2 linked regions of the Oreochromis niloticus genome follow. The main gene of each other region encodes a partner of the protein of the gene in region 2 in a complex. Links are inferred from orthologs where the notes say so. Each region holds a gene or a part of one and is shown on either strand. Other genes may lie near its edges.

What was found. The genes of interacting proteins can lie anywhere in the genome.
Region 1: pigq (region 2) and dpm2 share a complex: the UniProt entries of both Homo sapiens proteins name them as parts of the glycosylphosphatidylinositol-N-acetylglucosaminyltransferase (GPI-GnT) complex. The link is inferred for Oreochromis niloticus from reciprocal best matches to the Homo sapiens genes PIGQ and DPM2.

What each region holds. Positions count from the first base shown.
Region 1 is NC_031972.2:34,763,835-34,773,583, forward strand, and holds the start of dpm2 (dolichol phosphate-mannose biosynthesis regulatory protein), read left to right. Parts: upstream 1-5,585; 5' UTR 5,586-5,735; coding exon 5,736-5,738; intron 5,739-9,749. UniProt on the Homo sapiens protein: Regulates the biosynthesis of dolichol phosphate-mannose. Regulatory subunit of the dolichol-phosphate mannose (DPM) synthase complex; essential for the ER localization and stable expression of DPM1.
Region 2 is NC_031969.2:32,537,663-32,548,052, reverse strand, and holds the start of pigq (phosphatidylinositol N-acetylglucosaminyltransferase subunit Q), read right to left. Parts: upstream 4,237-10,390; 5' UTR 4,157-4,236; intron 3,408-4,156; exon of another isoform or gene 3,279-3,407; intron 2,322-3,278; 5' UTR 2,284-2,321; coding exon 2,131-2,283; intron 1,941-2,130; coding exon 1,754-1,940; intron 1,381-1,753; coding exon 1,217-1,380; intron 1,085-1,216; coding exon 888-1,084; intron 1-887. Other genes in the region: protein-lysine N-methyltransferase EEF2KMT, read left to right, coding at 5,168-5,275, 5,650-5,712, 5,792-5,872, 5,995-6,096, 6,271-6,404, 6,482-6,726, 6,849-6,998, 7,555-7,655; alg1 (chitobiosyldiphosphodolichol beta-mannosyltransferase), read right to left, coding at 8,105-8,239, 8,903-8,978, 9,134-9,248, 9,353-9,463, 9,570-9,629, 9,714-9,752. UniProt on the Homo sapiens protein: Part of the glycosylphosphatidylinositol-N-acetylglucosaminyltransferase (GPI-GnT) complex that catalyzes the transfer of N-acetylglucosamine from UDP-N-acetylglucosamine to phosphatidylinositol and participates in the first step of GPI biosynthesis.

The DNA of each region.
Region 1 (9,749 bases), on a different chromosome or scaffold from region 2:
ATGTTATTTGATCACTGTGTTTATACTTATTTACACTGTTTTGCACATGTGAACTCTCTGAGGAGAATTAGAAACCACTAAAAGGAAACAGAGGTGGCACAGTTGTCCGAAACAACATGAAATCTTCTGTTTTTAAATTTCTTATTTCATTTCTGTTGGCTTAATGCCTGCAGAGCCTATGTTCATATGGCTGGCCATATGTAACCATCCATCCTCTGCACTTATTAAGTACTTATTCACTTTTTAAATTCCAATGATGTCGTAAACCTGTCATAAATGTGAGGTTTTGTGGGGTCTTTACTTCCTTTCTCAGCCACATTTTATTTCCAACTTTGGCCTTTCTCAGATATTAAGTACACACAAATAAGCTGAATCCAGAATGTGTGTATTTATAAGGCAGGAGATCTTTATTGAGGGCCTGTTCTGCTCCACTGGAGTAGCTTTTAATGGTACTAGCCCCTCAGTTCATCCACTCTCTAAAAGAAATTGTTTAAGCACCTGTCTCTTTATAAGAACCCTCTTGTTAAAAGCCAACTTTCCAATGACTGGACCGCTTCTGGAAGCCTGCAGAGGGGCATATCAGGGTTTCTGAGCTGTATTGTCTATTTTGTGCAAAACTGACATCAGCACATCATGAGAGCAGAATGTTGTTTGGCTCACAGGAACTACTCTTATCAGTGTTTACCTCATTTTTGTAAAATATGTAACATTATAATATTATATATTTAACAGAAAGTAAGAAATAAATCCTCTTTAACAACAAGTGACATTACAACAAGCTAAACAGAAATTGACATTAGCAGGAAAAATGGCTATAATCACAATATTAGCATTAGCAAATGTTGCCTATTTATGCATCCATGCATTTAGGCGCTCATTCACCTTTAGAACCATAGTTAATGTCGTTTTACTTGCTCACTGCCTGCTGACGTTCTGGCTTCACACTGACAAACAAAGCAGTGTTTTTACCAAAAATATTAACTTCAATCAGAACTCTTTGCAGTTTGTAGCTTTGGACAGTTTAAGTTTTGTGCATGTGCAAGGAAAGTAAAACTCCTTTTTCCCCATTGCTTTTGCAAGGCTTGTGCAGACTTAGCGTGTTGAGCTAGCAGTGATACTGTGGGCTGGTGTTGGCTGTAGTGAGGTCAGTCCCACAGCTGCAGCAGCACAAAGCCTCTGTTGTGTGAGTACTGACAGTATACAATAGATCTTCACCCCCCCACGGGACTCATTTGTGCATTTGTGATTATGTTCATGCTGCAAGATGTGCATGCGGGCCATGCATCTCTGACTGATATGAAAGGATGTACTGTATAAAAGACAGTTTTTTTAAGCTTTCTGGTGCATCAAGTCATGCAAAAGTGTAAGTAAGTTGTAAGCAAGTACTGGATACTTGGGACATCTAGAGGTTTGTTAGGTTCACCACTCCTCAAAAGTTTGGGATTGCTTAGAAAAGTCCTTCTTTCTGAAAATAAAGTAGATTTTTTTTATTTAATATAACATTAAATTCATGTTAACTATTTTATATAAAAATTTGTGATTAATGAAACTGTTAATTATAAACCCTCCGATATTGTGTTAACCATTGAAAGTTTATCATATTAAAAAGCCTACTAATCATTAGATAAAGTAGTTAGTCTCTGGATGTTATCCACAGCTTTCATAATTTGTCGAATGTGGAAGCTTGTTTCTGTCACTGAAAGAAGAAGTTATTTTCTCAGACGTTTGAACTAGTAACTTGGATTCTTTAGATAATAACCTGAAATTCTCACTTTATCTGGCAAAAACTGTTTTTGTTTTTGTGTTTATTTTCAGTAATGGGACAGGCAGAGGTACAGGCAGACATTTTCATGCAGTCATGTGTATTATTCCCTCCACAGTAACTGGCTGTCACCAGAAAAGAAAGAGGTTCAATACTGACAAACTCCATAAGGGTGTTTGGATAAAAGAGGTGACAGGTGTTCAGACTGCAGCTTCATTAGACGGAAACCATAACAGTCAGACTGAAGGGAGTAGTACACACTGTTGCATTAGGTAACAGTCTGTCATAGATACATGTACAACATTTCTGATTAATTTTATGATACATGAATTTTTAAAGCACTTTTCTAAGTGATCCCCAACTTTAACCTGTACTATTTAATAATTATACACATACCTTTATTGCCATATTTTCCATTAACAGTCCACATTGGTGTGTGTGTGTGTGTGTGTACGAAATGTGTGATGTGGTAACCATATAGTCTATTTTCCTTTTATTTCCAGACCAGCAGGCTGGTCTGCAGCACGGATCTGTGTGTAAAAGCTTATATTTTATGGTAAGATGTGACTAAACAGTAATTATTTACAGTGAAGCCTGCGGTTACTGGGGAAAGTATGCAGTAATGGGATCTGTCTGCCACTGTGATTTGTTCTAGAAATACTTACTCTTTCTTTGTACTTGACCATATGTAACCTTGTGATCTTATTAAGCAAGTGTTTCTATTTCTGCATGTGGTGAAATGTTTTTTTTTTTTATTATTATTATCATTTCTGATTATTTGAAATTAAATTGTTGGGGCCAGGGTTATATTGCATTGGTAGCTGTGGTACTGATTTAACAAGATGGGGTTTGGTAAAGGGAATATATACTTCACAAAACACTTTCTACCATATTTTAAAACGTATTTATATTAAAGGTAAAATCACTTAATGTGTAGAAATATAATAAATGCATATAAAATATCTAATATAAGCATTAATGTTGGGTGAAAATAATTTTGTTGCATAAATTGGTGCATTTCTGGGTTTTTTGAGAAAGAAAAATCAGTTTTGTTTTATTTTCAAATGCTTTCTAACTCCATGCACACATATTTTCACTCCTTGTGTTAAAATACCAGGAAATATTTCAAGAATTCAGATGATCTGACCTGTTAATAACTACATGTAAACAGAGGAGTTGTGATGAACATGAAAACCAAATAAACTGTCAAAGTCTCTTCTTTCTTTAACTGCCGAAGATTCATCTGTTTGTTTGCACATGTCATGTGATACTACACCTTAACACAAGCGCTATTATATACAGTCACGTACATGTAAGTACATGCAATGAAAATATGGAGACAAACAAAAGTTGAACTGATGCCTTCAGGAGAACGTGGTATATTTGAACAACAAGAGGGAAACTTGACTTTCTGATCATCAGCTAAACAAAACTATTATCGTTTTAAGTGAAATTATTCTATAGAAAAGAATAACTACACCTCTGACATCACAAGTCACTTTTGCCATCTTTAGTAGAAATTACTTTTTGGCGTTTTGCATGATTGTCCACCAGTCTCTGATGATAACCTGCCAAAATCTTTCATCCACTTTTTAAAAAAAAAATAAAAAAAAAATAAAAAAATGGAAAAATTATCTTTACTTCTAGATCTGTGCTTTGAATAAGGCATTATTATCCAGGGTGCCACAAACTCACCGTACAGATCAACCCTGCAGCCAGGGAACTGTGGACCTGATTGGACCTTCTTGATTTGCACTTGGACTCTCTTTTCTCACCTACTGACCTCCTTTTTTGCCACTCACTAGTTAGGTTTAGGCCCTGAGAGTTGTTTGGTTTAGGCACGACAGCACCAAAGGACACCTTGTGCATACCTGAAACGCGCACGCAGCAATGCCAAAACGCTGTTATTTGATGCTCCAGGAATGAAAGGAATCTGGTTCTCATTCCTTTCTTCTTTTTGAGTCCTTCTTTGGTGGATTTGTTGTACTAAGGATCATTAGTAGTGTTGAAAAGTCCAGTTCTAATTCAACTTTGAACTTTCAGATGGATGGCCTCACATCACTGTTTACAGAATTCACAGAGTGGTTCTTCCTCTTAAAAGCTGTCTTTGCTCTGCAATAAAACATGTCAGCTGTTATTGTGATGATCCATCAGGACATCAAAGGCCTGGTTTTGACTTCTAGATTTACTGTCAAACTCCAGACATGGAACAAGAATGGGGGAAAAATTCATCTCATAAAAAGCATCTCGAAGAAAACCAGGGGCACTTCAACTTACTGAAATATTTAAATGGCCTGAAACCAAAGAGCTTTAATTTTCTGAAGGACAATAAGAATTTTTCTGTTGTAGCATTTCATTTGCTCCTTACTATTTTCCACTTCAGTGCAGGTATAAAATCATTATCTAATTATTCTGCTTTTATTCACATTAAAATAAAGCAAAAATTTATTTTTATAATGTCTGTCAACAGTATTTTATGGTTTGTGGGGTGATTATAAAATATTTTTTAAGATTCTGAATACAACGTGTCAACCAAATGAATTTTTTCGTTTGTTTTGTTTCGCTGTTTTTATGGTTATTTGCCTCAAACATGCGTGTGTGATGCTGTGATCTATGAAGCTGCAGTAGCAGGTAAACCACGAGAGGGCTTTACAAGGACATGGTCAAGATCATCCAACAAAAACTATTTTCCAACCATGCTGGGAAAAAGAGAAAAGAGAATTGAAGAGCTTTGGGTTGACAGAAAGCAGCTGAATTTAATTTGGACAAGATCAACATAAGTCAAACAGTACTGTTGCCTGCAATACCACCTTGGATACTCCCTGAACCAGTAGTATATTTCACACTATTAAACAAAAAGAATATTATTCTGTATTCACATACAGTGCAGGAATATATTAATCAGTATTACAGTTCTGTCAAAATCTACACAGATGCATCAAAGAATACAGCCAACCAAAGCGGGATAGCCTTTATTGTTCCTGAATTTAATATCAAGGTAGGGAAAAGGATCAGTGATGGTAATCAAATGGTGTCAGTACTGTTAGCTGTCCAGTGGATTGAAGATACAAGACCACTAAGATATGTGATATGCTCAGACTCGAGTTCATCATTGGCTAGTTTGCAAGACAGTCACTCATACTGCAGACCGGACATTGTGATAGAAATTCAGCAAACATTATTCAGAGTTACTATGATGGGGCTTATGGTCACCTTCTTATGGGTACCAGCACATCATGGAGTTAAGGGAAGTTAAATGGCAGACAGAACGGCAAAGGAAGCTACAAAGAGACCGTTGGTGGATATGGATATCAGTGTTAGGATGGAGATCAAGAGTGGAATATGGCACAAAATGAAGGAAGGGTGTCAAAGGCAATGGCGGGGGGGGTGTTTACAAAATCCAAAGGAAAACAGGAGAAATTAAAGGCACAGGAACAAACAGGAAAGATGAGATGGTTATATATCGACTTATATTTGGACACACTGGTTTGAATAGCATGTTGCTTTTAATAGGGAAACACTGTAGAGGGGACTGTGACTGCAGTAGAAGACAGGAAACAGAACATGTTTTATTGCATTGTCAGAAATACGATGCTGAAAGAAGACAACTGATGAAAAAGCTTGACAGTATACTGGAAACTGGAATTGGTTGATTTATTTTGCAAGAACTTTAAAAGTGAAAGTTTTCAGGCCATATTTTGGTTTTTAAGGCAGACTCATTTGTTTGGGTGGATTTCAATGTTCTTTTCTTTTTTTTGGTCATTTTGGTCCACACTCCACACCAGTTGTTGGCGGTAATGCACCATTTTGCTGTTTGCCAATAAACACTATAAAGAAGAAGAAGAAGAAGAAGAAGAACCACGAGAGGGCATCAGAGACCATTAGATGAATCGTATCAACCGGATTACTCAACAGGAAGAAGAGCACCAGGCTACGTCAGCAAATAACAACATTACCTTTTTGTGGATGAGAAATGGTAAGAAAGCTGCTGTGATTACTTTTAAACAGCTGATAAACGAGCAGAGACAAATTAATACTTTAATGAAATTCCGTCAGTTTAAGCGTAATTAGATTCAGAGCTAATCTTTGCTGTTTGGCTGTGACATTTATTTCTTTTAGCTTCATGCTAGCAGTTAGCTTCATGGTTGGTGTAAAACTGATTATAGGTTAACCGACCTGGTAACATTTTTCAGCCCCGAAATTACAGACAGTGGTTTTTTATTCGTATATTGCGTGTATATGAAGTTAGTAGACCGAGTATCTTTGATAATTATCAAATGAACTGAAACGGTGAAGGTTTGAATGAAGTTTGGTGCGGCTGCGCAGTGCCGTTGCAGATTAAAGGGGATTCTCTCTATTGTCTCGTTTTAATGCATCTTATTGTGGAAGTGGGGGAACACCTGGTGGCTGCAGATGCTTTTGTTGGTTTAGCTGCCAGAGTCGACGTGCTACGGTGGAGGTAGTGTTGTAGCTCGAGCTGTTAGTTTAATTGGCAGGTGCTGATGGAGTTAGTGTGAAGATGCAAAATGCATACACGCATCAATATTATCCTAAGACAACATTTAAATTGTTTTAATTTAAACAAATAAATAAACAAACCATGAAGTCTTCCGTCTGGTCTCCTAGCTCTGTCTTTCTTTCTTTCTTTCTTTTCGTAACATAAACAAAGACCCTCGAGTTTACCTGCGTAGATCCTGTTCACCTGTCAGCTGTTTAACACCTGCTGATTCAGGAAACACGCCCCCGTTACCTGGTGACAGTCACAGTTTAACTTGGGCAGCTGCTGCAATACAACGTGACGTCATGACAATATTGTGCACAAAATAAGTAAATGTAGTTTGTTTCCTCAGTGGAGAGCTGCTGGAGCTTGTTCCCCCTCAGAGTGACCGATCTGGATTAAAGATGACAAACAGGATTTAAATGGATGGAGCGATGGACCACTTTATAAGCAAACCTGTTGCTTTAATGAGAATTTGGGCTGTTTGCATATGAAATAAATAGAATTAATGACCCATACTGTTTGGATTAGTACCTGTGTACCTCAGTAATATAGCTCTGCCACTGATCTGCTGAAATGACTAAAAATCATCCTTTCAAGATCCGAGTATATTCAGAAAACTCACCAAACTCACAGCTGAATTACAAAGCACTTAGCAGCTTATCAGTCAGCTGAGAAACAGGACGTAGGTTTAAGTGTGTGTTTCTGACCTGCTGCTCAGCATCCATCGCTCCTCCTTTAAATATTGTTTGTCATCTTTAACTCAGATCAGTCACTCAGAGGGGAAAGTGGAGGTCAGCTGAGCTGATCGGTGGTGTCCTGAGAAAACGTCAGCTCGTTATTTATGTTAAAGAAAGACAGGGGTACGAGACCAGGCAGAAGACTTTATGATTAATTTATTTTTTATCAAAATCATTTATTTGTTGTCTGAAGATAATTTTGCTCTGTGTGTGCATTTGCACAAGCTGCAGATGGAGACTTTTTTTTTTTTTTTTTTTTTGCCAAGGTCCTTAATCTTGTCAAGCTGCAGACTCACTGACAGACAGAGGAGACAAATCTGCAGATCCAACATCTGGAACACGGAGAGTAGAACATGTAACCAAATCTAACCAGTTAACCTGGAGCACCAGAGTTAGTTGCAGGTGTAGTTGCAATGGTGAATTTAGATGATTAGTTGGTTTAGAGGTTGATTTAGTTGAAGATGAATGATGAAGTTGAAGCTGCTGTAGTGTCAGTGGTTGTTTTAGCTGCAAAGGTTGTCATGTTTAGTTGCAATTGACCTTGTAGATGGAACAGTTGTTTTCGTGACCTCATACTGGGGATCTTTTGATTCGAGATCTATTGAATCAAAGTCTTGTTGAGTTTTTATTTATTTGTTGATTGATGCTCGTTATTTTGATTACATGACTTCCTTTGAAATGTGGGTTTATAAAACCGGGTTCGTACGGGTGCTTGAAATCCTTGAAAATGCTTGAATTCTAATGTCGTCTTTTCAAGGCTTGAAAAGTGCTTGAATTTCAGATGTGGTGCTTAAAAGTGCTTGAAAATGTAACTGTATTTCATTCACAATAAATAGCTATCTGATTGAATTGTTTTCTTATCAGACAGAGAAATAAAATGAGACGCAAAAGCAAAATTTCCCCGCCTGGGCTGCCTTGCCTCTGTTTCAATATGTGACCCCGCCCCTCCCTCGGACAGTCGGGGATGAGTGCGCTAACATACCTGTAGGTTGCTGTTTTAATGAGTGTTTGATGGGAAAACAACAATGGCGGAGTTTACGTTCTCCAGTCGCATGATAGGTGAGTCCTAGTAAATAATTTTCCAGTACGCGTACGTTACACATGCTATTTTTAAAAAAAAAAAAAAAATTATGATTATTATTTTGCTAGCTATCAAACTCGCTGGAGAAATGATTGAAATGCACTGAGTGTGATGCAGTATGGCAGCGCTATTACGGAATATGCTGTGAACTTAGCTAACATTATTTAGCAGTAATATGAGTTAATTTACTCAAGTGAAAGCTTTAAACATTAGCCCGATACATAACTAGCTAACTTAAGGCTTTCTGATTAACCCTCTGGGGTCGACGGACCCAGAGTCTCCATTTCAACTTGGGTCGAACGTGCGGACTTCAAGCTATATACCAGTTTTTAAATTGTGTTGATAGGTCACGTAAAACCGATGTTTTTTTTTTTTTGGGGGGGGGGAGGTTCTGAATAAAACAGTGGCGTTTATGGTAAAAACGGCGTTTTTTATGGAGAGCGCTAGCAAACACGCTTTGCTTGTGAGTGAAAAAAGAAAAAACACTCCTTCCCTATTGGTGGAAAAATGTACCATGTCGACCAATCAAAAAATGATACGGCAACGTGGTATTTGGTTGTTGGGAAGAGAGAGCGAGTGAGCGAAAAAGAGAGAGAGAGTTTTGATCATTGACCAATGGTTTTGATACGTGAAAGATTTGTGATGTTTATCATGTTTGGAGTCTCAAGTTAGTGTGTTATCTTGTGTAGTTAGTGTGTAGTGTAGTCGTTTTGTTTTGTGTCAGTTCTACTAGTGAACGTCACAGTTGCTGCAAAAAAGCCACCAAAGGCAGATTGCAGTATAAACGCTGAGCGACACACCTGCTGTCAGACCTGCAGGTTTATCCCTGTGCTGTTCTCATCTGTGTTATAGTGGACACAAACTATTTTTTGGAGTTGCATAAATAATTTGTGTGCCTTCTTATTTGATGCAGCAAACCTGATTGTTCTGTAAATAGTTTTGAATGGTTATATAAAAAACGTCTGACCTTGGCTGCATTTTTAGGTAAATAGTACCATATAACTTTGTTGTTTGCAAAACTTGTTCATATTTTTTAAAAATGTCCAATTTTTATTTGCATTTCAAGTTATGAAAATGATTTGTTAAACATGCTTGTGGTTTTTACAGTCAAAAATATCACTTTCTACTTGTATTTTAAATTTTGTCTCAATTTAGATAAATTGTACTGAAGTGATGCAAATTGAAACATGCATTCTTTTTTTGAGGGGGGGGGGTGCTGTGCTGGAAAAGCTTAAAAAGGGACCTTGAAAGTGCTTAAAAAGTGCTTGAATTTGACCCTGAAAAAAGCGTACGAACCCTGATAAAAGTGCCTGTAGATAGAGATAACTATTTATATTGATCCAAATTTTCTTTAGTAAAAGTTAACCTGCAATTTTTGTTGTTATTTACTCGTGTTGCTGTTTGCCATTTGTTTTAAAAAGGAAGAATCACAGTTTATTGGTCAGGATGTGATGTAAAGTCTTAATGAGTATTTTTAATTTGGCCAAAACTGACAATTACAAAGCTAATGTTTGCCAGGGGAGGACGGTGTCATGATGTGTGCTCAATATCCAAGTAACAACAAGGAGGATCTCTCCAGTTGCTTTATGGGAAATTTAGTGTCTCACCTCTGACGACAGCCTGACGTCTGGCTTTAAACTTTTAACCACATTGTCATTAGTCTGCATA
Region 2 (10,390 bases):
ATACAAGTCAGTTGTGGTGAACAGAGAACCGAGTTTGAAAGCAAAGCTGTCGATTCACCGGCTGAGCTACGTTCCTACTTCACCTATGACCATGAGACCAACAGAGTGAGTCTGAGGATACAAGCAGCAGAAACGTGCGTAATGATGCTGCACCTCCACATTAAAAGGAGCCAGCTGGGGTGGCTCAGCATCTGACTGGGATGCCTCCTGGCTGCCTCAAAGCTGCGGCATTTTGGGCATATCAAAGTGGGTGAGGTCCTGCAGCAGAGCCAGAAGCTGCTCGATAGATTATCTCTCTCTGCTAGCTTGGAAGGATCTTAAAGCTCCTCTCAGAAGAGCTGGAGGAGGTGCAGAGGGAGGCCTGTGCATCTCTTAGATTTCCATTTGTTAGCCTCGTCTTGGATAAACGGTAGAAATAAAAAAATCTGAGACTCTCTATTACTTGTTTTCACTATACAGCTTTTTTAAGCTTTTCCATCAGTCTTTATTAACAGATTAACACACCCAAATGCTCAGATCTAATAAAAGTGTAACTACCTCGAACTTAATCCATGCTTTGATTTTTTAGAGGCATTTTAGTCTTTTGCACAAACAGGACTTGAGCAGATTGCTTGAAATGAGTTTTTTTTTTTATTCTATGTGAAGGTTTTAAAATGCATAAACTCACTGAAATTAAAACACGCAAAGTCGAAACCACTGAACAAGAATCATCTCGTGCAGAAACAAACGGTGAAAGAAGGCGCGGCAGGATTAGTTTGTGGTTTATTCGTCATGAATTAACTGGATGTTTTGTGCCGTTTCCAGCTGGGGGAGGGCAATCTACGATAAATCAATCAGCTGATTGATCAGTATATAAAATCTCTCAGCTGTAGCTTCCTTCCTCTTACCGGATGTTACAGATCCACGTCCACAAGGCGAGCAGCCAGCTGATGAGCATGCACAGCGGCACTGAGGCCTGTTTAAGCAGCTCCACGATGATGCTGGCCTCCCGGCCTTCAGACTGCCAGTGAGTCGACTTCAGCGGCCCGTCGTCATAGCGATCCAGGAAGAACAGAGGCTGGCTGCGTGCCACCGTCTGGAACACCTGCAACAGGAAGAGCAGCAGCATGTGAGAGATCACCAGCTGCCCACATCAGGGATTGGACGCATGTTGGTGGAGCTGATTTGAGAGCTTTGCACCAACATGGACACATCACAGCTTTTTTCTCCTCTCTACCTGTTTCAGCTCAGACGACGGCTCGGTGTTGGGGTCAGGATCTCCGCTCTCAGTGGGGTGGAGCTGCGACAGCATCACCTTCCTCTGCTCATAGTGGACAAAGATCACCTTCTCCTCCTCCTCCTCATTTTGCTTTTTTGCTTCCTGCTGAGTTTCTTGCCCATCTGAAAGTTATTAAAATCAGAGCACAGGAAATGCAACTTTCAAATTAAATAAAGGACATTTTATTTAAAAAAAAAAAAAAAAAAAATTAAAAACAGAGACAAACTCTTAGATAAATAAATGAGATAAATAAATAAATGAAAGACAGCTGTGAAAAAGGAGAACTATCATTTCAGGCTTAAAAGAATGGGAGGAGCTAAAGCCGCTTAGTTCAGACAGGATGAATTGCTAAGCTGTACCGATGCCCTGTTTAAGATAAATGAGGATTATTTTGAGCTGAGAATCATGCAAAGCTACTCTAGCACAGTCCAAAATAAAAAAAATGTGGAAAAGAAAAATCCAAGGAGGAAGCAGATTCCAGTCTGAGGATCTTACTTTGGTTCCGGTTGACGACCTCACAGATGAAGCCCATCTTTCCCATTTGGCGACTGACTTGGAGCCAGCGCTGCTGGGGGAAGATGGTGCTGAGGTCCCTGAGGAAGCTCTCCATGCTCTCCTGACCCTCTTTAGGTAAACTCCAGGAGCCGAGTACCGTCAGCTCCACCCCGCTCTGGGCCTGCATCTTAGAGACGAACACAGAGGAAGGATGAGGGACTGAAGTCTGGCTCACGTTGCTGAATGGATTAATCTGATCATCTGCAATCCAACTAAAAGTTTTCCTCTGCATTGTGTTTCATTCGAAACACAAAGGTGACACCTACTGGACAACTAGTGCCCTACAAAGACTCAGCTCCCTCTTTATAATCACCAACCTGCTGGATGTACTGTTTGACCTGCCCGGGTATGAAGGGGTAGTGAATGACCGCCAGCACCACGGCTGAGTCATGACCAGAGATCCAGCGGCCCACCAGCAGCCCGCTCTCCGCCCGGTTACAGCACTGTGGGAAGAAAATCTTCAGCACCATGACTGCACTGTGGCTCAGAGTCCAGCAGCTCTAATGATCTGAGGGAAATAAAACAAGCAGAGGTAAACTTTAACTTCAGTTACAAGTTTACAGTTACCGCCCTGACGGAGAAATCCTTCATCACAGATACGCGTGCTGATTAGTGCGTGCAGGTCCCTCATTGGTGTCCACACCTCAGTTTGAGACACTCGTCTAACACTGGAAAACTCACTGCCAGCAGCAGATATATTACAAAAGTCAAACTTGGAAATCAAAGAATTCTGAAATACAATTTATGTGAACATTTTACAACATCAAAGATGGCGGTAAAAGTAAAGCATCGAGGAAAAAGCTTTTAAAAAACATGGATTAAGCCTGGACCTGTTTTCAGTGGGACACCTTCACGGAATACTTCTCTTCATTTAGGAACAGGTCTAATCCATGTGTGCGAAACAGTCTGCATGTGTGTATATACACAAGAGAAACAGTAATCAAGCACGAAATACCTGCCGAGGAGACAAAGAGGTTGTTTTTCTTAATGAAAAATATCCCTGCTTTTCCAGTATAAGCGCTACCGCAGGAAAACCACTCAATTTTCCATTTTTTAATGAAGTTTGGCGACAGAACGGAACAGGGTTAGAGACGGCTGTCCTCGTTTTTTGCCCTTCAATCAGAAATCAGATTGGAGCACCACAGGAAGCCCCGGGGCAGGAATGCCATTGATTTCCGAGACCACGAAGCCGGTCAGCTGCAGTTTTATCTGCAGTGTTATATAGAGTAACCGCGGGAGCATAAAGAAATTACCCAACACGTCAAAGAGAAGAGTGACACCCCACACTGCTGCTTTATTGTGTCCCCAAACTGACAACCACCTCAAAGTTCTTCGCATTTTTCATTATTTTTCGTTAAAAGTGTTTTAAAATCAATGAACTGAAGCTCGAAGAAACAGCGGAAACATCAAACTGGCTAACATCACCGCGGAGACGAGACATGAGTGTTAAAAATGCACCCTTTACCTTCTTTAACACGAAAACAAGAGTTCACCTTCCCTCTGCAGCTACGTACGAGCCGCCGGAGCCATCTTAGTTGTTGACAGTCCGTGCGATAAAACGCTCCGGAGAGAAACACGCGTTAATGACTGTGCTGTGTTCCTCTTACTGCGATTAGATTTCAATTTTCGAAACAATTAAAAGTCTCACATATTTCAAAGTTTTTTTTAATTCATATTTTAAATTTATATTTTAACAACTTCCTTAAACAGTGGTCTTGCATTAATTTGAAAGGGAATTGTTAATGTTATTTTGAAAAGTCACTCTATTAGTTTACATTTCTTGTTGTTTTCTTGTTATGCTGATAATAGTTTGATCTGGATTTTCTGAATTGTAATGTCTGAATGAAGGTATTGATCCATCAGGGAAAACCTTTCAAACCAAAACATCACAGAACAATAAAATAATCAGTTAAAGTCAACATGTAGTTCTTCCTACTAATAATTCCAGTTTACGCTGAATTTATAATGTATGCTTTAAAATTACATTTTACCACGTTAACAGGCCTCAGCATTGGTCACAAGACGCTCCTCTGATTTTGAAAACAGTAATTCGTGTTTCTGCTAATCCTTTTAAAATTAATTTATACGGTTATTTCCTCTATGAAAAGCATTCTATATTCATTGTCTTCATGTATTCTTTTTTAAAATAATAATAATGTATTATAATATTATAACAACATTTATAATTTGCTTGGAAGGAAAACTTGTATAGACCCAACAGTGAGATTCAAAAAAATCCACAAATAATCAAAATCGTTAGTTTCTCTTAGATTCTTTTTTTCTGTTAAGAAAACCAAGTGAAATGATCAAACTGATGTTTAAAAATAATCAGCTCATACTCACCAGTAAATGCTCAGTGTGCTGGAGCTGCTGCTGTGAATGCACAGTTGGTCCAACTGAAGAGATTTTATCTGCGGCTGCAGTGACACAGCAAGAAAAGAGCGGGAAGATTCAAGGCCACAGCAGCAGATCTGACTGAAAGCTTCTCAGATATCAGCAGATATCACAGGTTCCTAAATGAAAATGACCTTTTATTCATCTCACCGAGCTGCTGAAGCTGGCATAAAGGAAAGATTCAATTCAATAAGAACTGCAGCTGGACTTGAACCTTGAGCCTCAGTGTTAAAATCCACTGACAGACAGAACCAGCTGAGCTCTCCAGCAGCTCTGATGGATCAGAAATTTACTCTGAGGTTACAAAACATGCATACGAACAAAACAGACAAAACCTCCTTAAAACAAAAGTATACATGATTTTAATTCAGAAAACTCTTACACAGAAGATCTTTAAAGCACAAGATTACCTGCGGGAGAAGTGGGTTGTCTGGAGGTTTGATCTCATGATACAGAGGAGAGCCACAGGAATGGCAACCTTTAATTTTGACCTTAAAAGTAGAAAAACACATTTGCTGGACTTGAATCCTGAACCTTTTAGCTAAAATATGATGAGACCATAATCAGAGCACTCCAGCATCTCTGATGGTGATGATGTCCAAAGACCCTCCAAACTAAAAGGAAAAGGAAAACACACAGAGAGCAACAGAAACTGTATAAAAAGGTTAAGAAAAGCCCCAGAAAAAACACACACTCTGGTTCAAAATGAAGGTAAGTTCCAATTAATACAAAACATTACATTTAAATAAAAAAATGTTCACTAATAAAAATATACAATAATTTAAAAGAAGTGTGTAATATGTCATGTATGTTTTACACACATGCACTTAGCTCTCTGTAGCTTTAAAAAAGGTAGACTATGCTCAAACCTACAGATAAACTTCACTACCCAGAGGCTCTAGCGAGAGACGGTCGCGCAGGATTATGGGTAAATAGGAAGTAAACAAATACACGTGTAAGATGGCGCTTTCAGAGCAGTCCTCAGTGCAGGGTTCAGTTAGAGAGGTTTTAAAGGAGTTCCAGGTGTCGTTTTTCGCTATGAGTCGGCTGCCTTCGTTTCCCTGGACTGTGAGTATGAGACTGGCCGAACTTCATTCAGAAATCTGCGCATTAGAGCACCAAAGCTGGCCACAAACCCGCTGCCTGTAAAACACGAGTAAAGCAATGAAATCAGTCAGGGGACCCCCCTGAATAATTCGGCTGAGCCTGGTTCTGCCGGAGATTTCTTCCCTTTAAAGGACATTTTTTCCTTTCCACTGTCGCCCAGTGCTTGCTCATGGGGGTCGTCTGATTGTTGGGGTTATTGTAGGGTCTGCCTTATAATATTAAGCTCCTTGAGGCGTGTGTTTTGTGATTTGGCTCTATGTGAATGACTTGAATTGAACTTAAAATGTGACTTAAACCTCTGTAATGTCCTCTGTATAACTTTTATCTGCTTACAGTTTGTAGAAAAAGACCTTCAGAGCAGCGGGTCATCAGAGCTCATTTCACAGGTGCTGAAACAGGTGAGTGTTCCTCCATCGTGCTGTAATCCTAAAACAGCTCAGCTTCGTTAGTGTAATGAACAGTCACGTGTTTTTACAGACGTGTCTTCATCCCCTGTGCCGGAAGTTTGCACCTTCAGTCAGATACAGGAGGCTGTTTCTCTCCGAGCTCATCAGACGGGTAAGGAGAGGTTAACTCTCAGATTATTAGTTGAGTTTTTTTCCCTCTGGACAGAAAGATGTTGAAATACTCGATCACAGAGTAAAACCCGGCTGTGTGCTTCCTGGTTTCTTCCTCCACAGCTGGAAGCTTCAGGCTGTGAACCTCTGGATGAGCTGTATGATGCTCTGGCTGAGGTGGTGGGCACTGAGGAGACCACGGAGTGCTACAAGAGCTACCTGCTGGTACTGCACACAGGAAAACCCTCAGCGTCACTGTCACCTTTATATCAAATTATTTGTTTTGTGCCATAAAAATATCAAGATCTAATTTTTGGTCTGAATCGCCCGGCCCTACTTTTGCCAGCTGTTGCTTGCTGGAGTCTTAATTTGAAGTGCAGCCATGTTTGTGTCCCGCAGCCTGCTGGTGGCGCTGTGAGCTTGATGGAGAACATTGCTCTGATCTCAGAGGGGACCACCGGGCTGGTGACGTGGGAGGCGGCTCTTTACCTGGCGGAGTGGGCTCTGGAGAACCAGCAGGTCTTTGCTGGCAGGTAAGCTGAAGGATCTGCAGGTTGTCGCCCTCCAGGTGGAGCCTCTGCAGCTTTTAAATTTTCTCCTCCTCCTTCAGGACGGTGCTGGAGCTGGGCAGCGGCGCGGGGTTGACGGGTATCGCCGTCTGTCGGTCGTGCAGCCCAAAGCGATTCATCTTCAGTGACTGTCACTGCAGAGTGCTGCAGAAACTCAGAGACAACGTCCAGCTGAACGGGCTGAGCGAGCAGACGACCCCAGCGGTCAGCGTGGAGAAGCTGGACTGGACGGCAACCTCAGAGGAAGAGCTGAGGGAGATTGGGGCTGACATCATCATCGCCGCAGGTCAGATTTATGGAGCGAGATGGCGTGGACACACATTCACACACCTCAGTCTGTTCCAGCTTTTATGGAGCTCTTGACACTCTGCTTTCTCAGATTCCTGTTGTTTGTTTGTCGTGGTGCAGACGTGGTGTACGACCCTGACATTGCAGGAAGTCTGGCGAAGCTGCTGTCCATTGTCATGAGGTGTTCGTCTGCTGAGGTTCTCCCTCAGGTCTTCGTCTGCTCCACGATAAGGAACCTGGAGACGTACGGCGGCTTCAAACAGCAGCTTGGTAAGACAACGCTGAGGAGGAGGAGGCTGTGCTGAAGATAGTTCAGATTAATTCAGACTTAAAGCTGATCAGAGTCTGGTTTACTTAAACCTAACGTTCTGCTGTGCCTCTTTGGCTCATGCTAACGTCACGTTATCGACCTCACGCTCGAGTCTGGCGGCGGAGTTTCATCAGCGTCACACACAAAAACGTGTTTGCTGCCTGAAATGAACAGTAAACATCACACGGGGAAAAATACTGTGGTTTGCTGTAGTAAGTAGTTCTTTAACCAGCTGTGCACAGTGTCCACAATTCATGAAAGAAAATGAAGCAAAAAGAAACTGGGACAGCTCACAGTAAACACTCAGACGTTCCAGTGTGGACAAAACGAGCCTGCAGAGAGAAATCTGGCCAGATTTGATCCTGGATACTTCCTGGTTACAGTGGGAATAAATAATAATAGTTGTTTTTGAGGCGTGCTTGGGGAACTATGAAGATGATTTTATACAGAGTGCAGGACCTTGGTTTGTATAAAGCATCTTGAATAAAGTCATTATTTGTTTGTTTGTTTTGGCAGAAACTGAAGGAGTCGGCCATGAAGTGATCCCAGGACCTGTCAACCATGTGTTTCCTTATAACAGACAGTCGGCTATAGAGCTCATCAAACTGTGCAGATGACACGGGGGGAGCATGATAAAGATTTTATTTACAAATGTACATCTCCATCGTCATGACAACTTCCTTTGTACATTCAAGTGAAGAAGGAAAAACGTCAGGAATAAAAAGAAGACCTCAGAAGACTTCGGTCTTTTCACCCGCTGATCCATTTAAATTTTAAATGTACATTTATCATAAAACACCCAAGCAAACAGTTTTGGTCCTTTGCGCTCTCACTCTGCTGTAACTGGAGCTCATATCATCCAGGCATTCACTGGATACTGGACTCAAAGGCTGGGCCTACTTTATTCCATGAAAAGTGCTCACCCGGCATACGAGGAAAAAAAGGCTTGTTTCCATGGTGATGTCTACTGCACGTGCCCAGTAGGGCTTAGAAAGCGAGACTTTCATGAATAAAAGAAATGGTTTTAAAACAGCAGCACTGTCTAGCTCTCTAAATACAGCCAAAGTTATCTCGGAGCAGTGATTAGAGGAAGGACGTTCTGGTCCCAGTTGTCATCCCAGCACTGTCCCCTGCTGGCGCGGAGGTTCCTCCTGAAGGTTCCCAGTTTGCCGTCTGAACTGGGAAAATCTGACAGGAGAGCCTGGAAACATAAACGTTCAGCATTTATGAGAAGGTTCAATTTCTGAAAGGTGGTGACTCCTAATCAGAGACTGTAAGTAAAAGATGGAAATAACTGCTGCTATATCACTTGTTTCTTATTTGGGCTCTGAAGCCTCATTCTGAGCGTGTCGATCACCCCGTTTGGTTTTTTTGAGGCTAGAAGAGAGAAGGTGGAGTGCTAAGGTATCAGCTAATGCTAGCTAGCTACCATGCTATATAAATAATTAGCTATTAACTATTAAAATCCTAGAATTTCACTCACAAAACTGTGGCTCAGATTTCTTGGACAGTCTGTTAGTACAGTCGCCTCACAGCAGCCATGTTATTGGTCACATGATGTTATTAAAAATGCTCCAACAGCACAAACACGGTCCAGAGGTCCAGTTCAGGGACTCCAGTTAGCTGAGGTGAAGCCCAGCAGACAGCTAGCAGCTACAGCCGCCTGTGTCACCCTCTCATCACAGATATGGCCACTTGACTCACACTTCAGAACCCACAAAACCATCTTTTATATACAGTCTATTCTTAAATCAATCGTGTTCACTTTCAGAGAAGCATAACTGTTGGTAGATATCAGAGTTCATATGAGGTTCTGCCTGAATCTTTCTCCTGATCATGTGACTGGTTTACAGGCGTCTCTCACCTTCAGCTGCTCGGCGAGCTCTGCAGAGTCTTTGAAGATCAGCCCGTTCTCCTCGTGCTTCACCAGCTCATCCAAACTGGTGAAAAAGAGACCGCAGAGTCAGATTTAGGAAGCACAGTCTCAGAGAGGGAGGTATTTACAGAGGTCACTGATGAGCATTTTCCTTTGCAGCCAGAGGAGTCGCCCCCTCCTGGCCACTAGAAAGCATGCAGGGTTAAGAGGTCAGCTCACCAGTTGAAGTGGATGGCGCAGACGGGGAGGCAGCAGCCAAACATGTCCACCACCTTCATGGGCAGATCCAGACCGCTGGACGACTTGTGGAGACAAACACCCAGATCTGCTGAGCCTGGACGACAGAGAAGAAAACTCCTCCAACGACCTGCTAAACCTTTGTGCGCAAACACGAGTGAGACTAAACTGGTCGAACAGACAAAATAAATACTAAAATACCTAAAAGCAGAGGGTAATCTTCAGCCTCCAGCCAGGGGGTGCAGATCTTCACGTGCTCCAGGTGCAGGGAGTCGATGAGCTTCATGTAGTGTTCCTTCTGAGGACCCTTACCTGCACAAACGCACAAAAACACACAGAGTGAGCGGAAACGTTTTCTGAATAAAGGAAAACTCAAAATTACTGGAGGTTCTAATCTGTAAGGAGCGAGCTGGACTACCTGTGATCACGCAGAGTAAAGGTGGTAAGGAAGCTCCTCCCTTTATGAAACCTTCGTACTCTGGTGGGAACAAACAGGCGACAGGTGAGGAAACACGTTTCATGGATTTTTTTAAACTTTAGTTTCTGAAACAGCAGGTCGCACCTTCGAGGGCCGTCAGCAGGATGGAGAAATCTTCGTCCTCTGCAGAGAAAAAAAATATCCTGAATCAGTGTTTGCAGCTGAAGGTGCAAAATAAATAAAGTGAAACTGGCTGAATTTGGAAAATTTTACATTCTGTTTGCAACAGAAGCTGCAAACAGAAACCTTCAGTGAGCGTCCTCGCACATCCCGATATTCCCCGCATCGTGTTTGCGTCAATGACGAGGAACGCCGGGAGTTTAATTCCCTTTTCCCAAGAAAAAAACTCAAATTTCATCTTTGACAGCAGGATTTATTATTATTACCTTTATTTTCACACTGAGATCTCTTTACCCCGAGATTCTCAGCAGGACTTAAAGTTAAACCGTCGCTCCCAAAATCCTTTCCTGTAAATCCTGAACGGGCCGAGGACGCCGCTGGAGCGGAGGTCACGACCTCCAAACAGTAACTTCTGTTTTGTTTCTATAAATTCAGACGATTTATTCCTGATCATTAAAATATGATTAAAGACCCTGCAGTGAAGCTGCCTGTGTGTGTGAGCCGCTGAAGGAAAGTAAAAGGTTACGAAATTAAAAACAAAAGAATATTTGAACTCCTGAGATGAACGACTTCATCGGAAATGTTCGAACAGCAAACGCAAAACAAAAAATCGGTTTCCAATCAGAAAACACCAAGAGCCA